Linked DNA regions of Macaca mulatta. The protein of the gene in region 1 binds, or shares a complex with, the protein of each later gene. Links are inferred from orthologs where the notes say so. Each region holds a gene or a part of one and is shown on either strand. Other genes may lie near its edges.

Region 1 (3,819 bases):
TTCTCACTCTCTCCCCAGAAGGAGTTTTGTGTTTTTTCCATCACGTGGTTTCCTGTGGGGCAGGGCATTGTGGGGCTACAGTTTCCTCCTGGGAAAGGGGTGTGCTTTGGGGAAAGGGCTTAGTTCTGCTTTCTGCCCCGACAGCCCCTTTGAATCCCTTTGAACCCTTTTGAACCCTGGGCTCCCCTTCAGTGACATCATCCAGGGCACCCCAGAGCCCCCTACACCACTCTTTCCCCAGTGGGGTTGTCCTCCCCGCCTCCCTGGGGGAGCGCACCCCATTGGCCTTCCTTGTGACTTGTGTCTCTCTGTCCATCTCCCGCCACTCCCTGTGGTGTGGCCTTGGTCTGTGTTTCTCTTTGCCTCTGGTCTCTGCCGGGGCACAGCCTGATCCTTCATGGAGACTCTTCCTTAGTTTCCCTCTTCCAAATATTTGGAATATTGCCAGCCCTTCTGCCTTTCAGAGGTGGTCTCTGGGTTCAAAGCCTGGTCAGAATTCTGGGGGCTAAGATAGCTTGAGCCTGGGAGGTCAAGGCTGCAGAGAGCAATAACCGTGCCCCTGCACTCCAGCCTGGGCAACAGAGCTCGGGAGGCTTGCCTTGGAGTCCATCAGGGGCCCTAGGCCAGTGAGTAACAGCTCAGCGTCAGTTTCCTCATCTATAAAATGGGGGTAATATCATACCCAGCCCTCAGCATGTTTGTGAGAGGCATCAATACGATGGTGGATTTGGAACCATCTAGCGCAGTGCCTGGCCACAGTAGGTGCTTGATTTCCTGCCCCTCTCTGTGAATATCTTTGCTCAGCACCTTCCCCTGTGGCCTGGGTCTCACCTTCCCTGACGCTGCCTTCTGTAGGTGGTACCATGGCCACATGTCTGGAGGGCAGGCAGAGACGCTGCTGCAGGCCAAGGGCGAGCCCTGGACATTTCTTGTGCGTGAGAGCCTCAGCCAGCCTGGAGATTTTGTGCTATCTGTGCTTAGTGACCAGCCCAAGGCTGGCCCAGGCTCCCCGCTCAGGGTCACCCACATCAAGGTCATGTGTGAGGTAAGGCAGCCAGGTGGTGGGGGAGCCTCTGCTGAGGCTCCTGTCTGTGACCGCAGTGTGGGTGGCAGGGAGGGTCTGCCTGGGCTTGAATTCAAGGCTGGGGCTCAGGGAGGGAGACTCGAGCCCTGTGAGTGGCCTTATTTGGCTCCCTCCAGGGTGGACGCTACACAGTGGGTGGTTCAGAGACCTTCGACAGCCTCACGGACCTGGTGGAGCACTTCAAGAAGACGGGGATTGAGGAGGCCTCAGGTGCCTTTGTCTACCTGCGGCAGGTCAGGCGGGGACCCAGCTGCTTCCTCCCTTCCCCTGAGCTGTCCCCCAGGTGTGAGCTTCTGAGACCTCTGAGTTGCTGACTTCTCGCTCTCCCCTATCCCAGCCGTACTACGCCACGAGGGTGAATGCGGCTGACATTGAGAACCGAGTCTTGGAACTGAACAAGAAGAAGGAGTCCGAGGATACAGCCAAGGCTGGCTTCTGGGAGGAGTTTGAGGTGCATGGTGGGGAACTGGCAGGGCTGGGGCAGCTGAGGCGGTGGCGGCCGCGTGGGGCCCCAGGCGGACACCTTCCTCCCCTTGCCCACCTCTGCTCCTGACCCACCCCACGTGAGCTCCCCTGATGGGTGCTCTCTCTGGGAGGTGATGCTCATTTCCTCACCCACATCTCAGAGTTTGCAGAAGCAGGAGGTGAAGAACTTGCACCAGCGTCTGGAAGGGCAGCGGCCAGAGAACAAGGGCAAGAACCGCTATAAGAACATTCTGCCCTGTGAGCACCCAGCCTGCCCCATTCACCCAGGAGACCGCCCCACCCCAGCCACTGCCCCTGCCCCATTCACCCAGGAGACCTCCCCTGCTGCAGCCGCTGCCCCTGCCCCATTCACCCAGGAGACTGCCCCGCCCCAGCCGCCACCCCTGCCCCATTCACCCACCCAGGAGACCGCCCCGCTCCAGCCGCCGCCCCTATCTCACAGGTCTCCACCCTCCACTCCAGGAGGGGCCACCTCCCCACACCCCTTCTCCAAAAGGCCTCTACTCCTCCCAGAAGTGCCTCCCCACCATCAGCAGGCAGGCTGCCCCTTGCTCCCAACCTCCTTCTTGTGAATCCCCTCACTCCCTCCGTACAGATGATCCCCCACCCCTGCTGCCCACAGTCCCCCGCAAGCCTCATGGCTTCTGAGACCAGAACGGCCTGTTAGCTCAGGAGGGTCTGACGCAGGTGTGGTGAGTCCCTGGCTGACCCAGGCCATCTCGCCTCCTCTCCACCCACTCCCAGTTGACCACAGCCGAGTGATCCTACAGGGACGTGACAGTAACATCCCGGGGTCCGACTATATCAATGCCAACTACATCAAGGTCAGTGGTGTGGGTCATGTGGGAGGAGAGGCTGGGCCCTGGGAATTCCCTGTCTGGTGGGGGACCCTAGATCCAGAGACACCTGGGCAAAGCCAAAGCTGGCTTCTTGCATGGGTGAGGGGAGCAGTGGTTCAGGCCCTGTGCTGGGCTGAGGGGCTCACTGTTTTGGGGTGCGTCTCTCCACGCTTGTGTCCAGAACCAGCTGCTAGGCCCTGATGAGAACACTAAGACCTACATCGCCAGCCAGGGCTGTCTAGAGGCCACGGTCAACGACTTCTGGCAGATGGCGTGGCAGGAGAACACCCGCGTCATCGTCATGACCACCCGAGAGGTGGAGAAAGGCCGGGTAGGGCACCCCGCCCCATCCCCACATCCTTGCCCCGTCCTTGTGGTCATACCATTAAGTCAAAGAACCGTCAGATGCCAGAGCAGAAAGGGATCTCGGGGGTGAGGGTCCAGCCTTGTTGGGAAACTGAGGGCTAGTGACAAAGTCTCGACTACACGATGCAACCCCCAGATCCCTGCATGCACCCCTGGGCTCTTCTGAGCTCCAGACCCAGGTTTTAGGCTGTCCTCCTTCCTCCTACACCTTCCCCACCTGTCTGCATCCAGGCCCCTCCTGTCCTCCCTGCCCCATAGATGTCTGTGGAGTCTGCCCCTCACTCTGCAGCCTCCCCTTACACAGCACCCTCTGTGCTGCCGTTGAAGTGATGCCATCCGTGACAAACTGGGTCGAGTTCCTTCCCCTCTGAAATCTCTTCCATGGCTCCTGGTCACCTTTGGGATAAAGTCACACTCGAAGGCCTGGCGTTCAAGGCCTGGTGGTTTCCCTCTGACTCCCACGCTTCTCTTGAAGGCTCACCGCTTCCAGCAGCCGCGGCTCTTTCAGGTTCCCAGCCTTTCTTTGCACAAGCTCTTTTCTGCTAGGAAATGACTCTGTCTCCACACTGTCTCCGCCCGGCAGATGCCTCGTGTTTGAAGACACAGCTGAAGCGCTGCCTTCTCTGTGAATTCAGGTCTTGTTTTCTCCAGGACCTAGAGGGCGAGTTTCCTCGTTCCCAGCCACGCTCCTCAGCGCGGCGTCTCCCCGGTCACTTGTCTCTGTGAGCTCCTCCAGGCACAGGGGCACAGACTGGGTGTTAGCTGTGTCTGTGACTACAGCCTGGTTTGCACGGCTTCGGGGACAACGCCTGCCTCGGCAATGTTTGTTGAATGACAAATGGATGTACCAGTAAAGCGGCTGGCCAGGTCGCACCACCTGTTGGTGGCTGATCTGAGACGAGAGCCCAGGTCTCCTGCCTCTCTGCCAGCTCATCTATCCATCCAACAAACGTTTGGGCCGGTGCCAGGCACTCAGAACCTAGAGCGGGACCTGGGATGGGCCACAGCGCCCTGCTCTGTGCCTCATCCCCACCCGACCCTCCC
Region 2 (3,348 bases), about 2.2 Mb from region 1:
CTGAACTTCTTTATTCCTTAGTAATTTATTGCTTCTTATTGCCCCAGCAATAATATTTTGTCAAACGTAGAAATTTCTCTCTTTTTTTTTTTTTGAGTCAGAGTCTCACTCTGTCGCCCAGGCTGGAGTGCAGTGGCACGATCTCTGCTCACTGCAACCTCTGCCGCCCGTGTTCTAGCGATTCTCCTGCCTCAGCCTCCTGAGAGTTGGGACTACAGGCGCCTGACATCGTGTCCGGCTAATTTTTGTATTTTTAGTAGAGACGGGGTTTCACCGTGTTAGCCAGGATGGTATGGATCACCTGACCTTGTAATCGGCACGCCTCGGCTTCCCAAAGTACTGGGATTACAGGCATGAGCCACCGCGCCCGACCCAAAAATATATTTTTTAAAACAAATATTTTACCATAAGAAACTTGTTTAGGCTTGAAGAAAATTAGAGAAAGAACTTTAGATTCTTTAATGCAAAATGAGCTCCAATACTCGTTCTCCACCTCACCCTTTTAACTGCACTAGGGAATATTGTATATAAACCATTTATTAACTTCTTAACTACGGTTATTGTAGAGTACAGTCCCTGACATCACACACTGCAGAGATGGATAACCAAGGAGTAATCTACTCAGACTTGAATCTGCCCCCAAACCCAAAGAGGCAGCAGCAAAAACCTAAGGGTAATACAAGCTCCATTTTAGTAACTGAACAGGAAATAACCTATGCGGAATTAAACCTTCAAAAAACTTCGCAGGATTTTCAAGGGAATGACAAAACCAATCACTGCAAAGGTAAAGCATTTAAAAGATCCTCAATATAACAGTCTAGGATGTGCAGCTTGGGGTACAGGGATGTGGGGAAAGAGCAGGGAGTACTCACATGTTTTCTATTTGTAAAGATCAGAATTTCAAGTTGAGATATGCTATTTCAATATAAAATATGAAGACTGATTTAACTCATTGTTGAAATGTGTAGTCTTCGTCAAAGAATTCATGGAGCATTATTTTTACTGAAAATGCAATGGTATATTATTCTGAGAAAAAGATTACAATGGGAGATGAGGGTTTGGGGTCCAAGTTTCTCCGTATGATTCCTGTGCATTCAGGTTCTTTTGTTTTTGAATCTTCTAAATAACTATGTCCACCTCTCCTTTCGCACTGTTCCCATTTCGCTCCCTGCAGATTTACTCTCAGCTCCAGAGAAGCTCATTGCTGGGATACTGGGAATCATCTGTCTTGTCTTAATGGCCTCTGTGGTAACAATAGTTGTTATTCCCTGTAAGTCTATTTTAGAAGATTACAAGGGGAATTTTCACGTTAATGATTGAATGTGCCTCTATACATTTCATATTTTCAGGGAATAGAATTCTCATTGTAATGTATATCTTTGGACTGAATGTGGAATGGTCATTCAGAATTTGTCAAAGAATAAATGAAAGAATAATTGTTGAAAGTATTTGCTTCCGATGCAATTGCATGTATATATTTTGATTTCATAACTCAAAAATATGTTTGAGGAGTCTGAAAAACCTTACTGAGAAATAGAAATTAATTTTTGAAAGTAGTTAAATCAAGAATTATAAGAACCATATGAGAGGGTGAAATTTGGTTCTTTAGATCTATGAAATACTTTTCCAAAAAACCATTATTACTTTATCAAATTTTTCTTAAAATTATTTTTATTCCATATTATTCTAACTCTAACACAAAAAATTTCAAACAAAAACTTAAAATTATTATGATTGATTTAGATGCTAATTTTTAAAAAAGATTACTTTAATTTTTCTAGCTACATTAACACAGAAGCACAACAATTCTTCCCTGAATACAAGAACTCAGAAAGGTATATAATAATTTTTAAAGTTTTAATATTGTACAGTTTACTTTTTCTTGATCTTAGGCTGTACAAAAATAAAATTTGGGGTGAAAAATTATAAAATTTGGCAATAAATGTTCATAAATAAAGATTAGAGTAAGGCATTCCCTTGTCATCAACTGTAAGTAAAATCACTATACTTTGTTTTTATCTATTGTGTTCAAATTCTTATTGCTATAAGATACAAGTTATTTATTGCTCCTTAAAAATCAGATTAGTTCATTGATTTTCAACACATGTATAGAGTAGATTTTTGTTTGCTGGTTTGCTTTATATGGGAACACAATTAGGAGATGAGAGGTTGACCCTTTATTGCGCATATGTATATAAGTGACTGGGTATTTTCAAACTACATATTTACCAGCCTCTGAAGATGCATAGATATGTTGCATACATATAGGTTTATACATTTGCAAATATGTTAAAAATTTTTCATTTTTAAAAATTCATATGAGTCTAGACAGTAATTCATATCTTTATTTAGCACGTCACTGTGGCCATTGTCCTGAGGAGTGGATTACATATTCCAACAGTTGTTATTATATTGGTAAGGAGAAAAGAACTTGGGCAGAGAGTTTGCTGGCCTGTGCTTCGAAGAACTCCAGTCTGCTTTCTATAGATAATGAAGAAGAAATGGTAAGATGTAAATGTTATAAGCACTTTATGAAAAGCTTATTTCGGTCAATAATATATTTGTAGAAATCATCCATATGTGTGGGTATATATATTTAGCTTATGTTTTTAGTAGGGAGTAGCTTATATGTTTTCAAGTTTATGTAATAGTTAATTGATTGACTTAATAATGTTTAAAAATGCATATACTGCTAACTTGCTTTTGATTATTTTCAGTTTTTGCTTTTCATGGAAAACCATGCTGCTATAAATGCTTTGAATCCACAATAAATGTTGCTATCTAATTTTATCGGGCATGATATGATCTGGTCATGCAGATTGATCACAAAGTGAATGAACTCCTGTGATACAAGTCAGATCATGAAATAACAGTTTCCAGCTCTAGCAGTTCCACCCCTGTGTGTGCCCTCATCACTTATCCTGACTCCTCCAAAATATTGTCTTGACTTTTAATGTTATAAATAACATTTGCCTGTTTTTGAATTTATATAAAGGGAATCATACAGTGTGAATTTCATGTCTGTGTTTTTCACTCCTATCTGATATTTGTGCAATTCCTCCATATTATTGCAGTTATCAGTAGTATGTTACTGTTCACTGCTGTACTATGTACAAAGAACACTAAGAATCCATTGAGTCCTTGTCTCTGGGTGGGGAAGTGGGTCTCCTGCCCTCAGGGACAAAGAGGACCCTGGGTGGTGCACCGGTTGTCATTGGATCGCTTTGCTGATCCTCCTCACCCACATCCACTCTGGTGTCTCTTGGAATGAGAAGGAAGCACTTCCTCTGGCTGTATTGATAGCAGGTCTCCTGGTAGCTCATCCTTGCCGGTGGTACCAGCCTCGCC

The links.
Region 2: the proteins of PTPN6 (region 1) and KLRC1 are in contact, whole or in part, in an NMR structure (PDB 2YU7), measured with the Homo sapiens proteins. The link is inferred for Macaca mulatta from reciprocal best matches to the Homo sapiens genes PTPN6 and KLRC1. Residues at the interface, in NP_002822.2 of Homo sapiens: Gly117, Gly118, Glu121, Arg136, Ser138, Leu139, Ser140, Val146, Thr165, His166, Ile167, Lys168, Val178, Gly179, Gly180, Leu181, Glu182, Ile199, Glu200, Glu201, Ala202; in NP_002250.2 of Homo sapiens: Ile38, Thr39, Tyr40, Ala41, Glu42, Leu43, Asn44, Leu45, Gln46, Lys47.

What each region holds. Positions count from the first base shown.
Region 1 is NC_133416.1:7,927,128-7,930,946, forward strand, and holds part of PTPN6 (tyrosine-protein phosphatase non-receptor type 6), read left to right. Parts: intron 1-855; coding exon 856-1,045; intron 1,046-1,200; coding exon 1,201-1,317; intron 1,318-1,421; coding exon 1,422-1,535; intron 1,536-1,710; coding exon 1,711-1,807; intron 1,808-2,314; coding exon 2,315-2,394; intron 2,395-2,590; coding exon 2,591-2,740; intron 2,741-3,819. UniProt on the Homo sapiens protein: Tyrosine phosphatase enzyme that plays important roles in controlling immune signaling pathways and fundamental physiological processes such as hematopoiesis.
Region 2 is NC_133416.1:10,119,020-10,122,367, forward strand, and holds part of KLRC1 (NKG2-A/NKG2-B type II integral membrane protein), read left to right. Parts: intron 1-566; 5' UTR 567-597; coding exon 598-784; intron 785-1,174; coding exon 1,175-1,270; intron 1,271-1,781; coding exon 1,782-1,835; intron 1,836-2,352; coding exon 2,353-2,504; intron 2,505-3,348. UniProt on the Homo sapiens protein: Immune inhibitory receptor involved in self-nonself discrimination.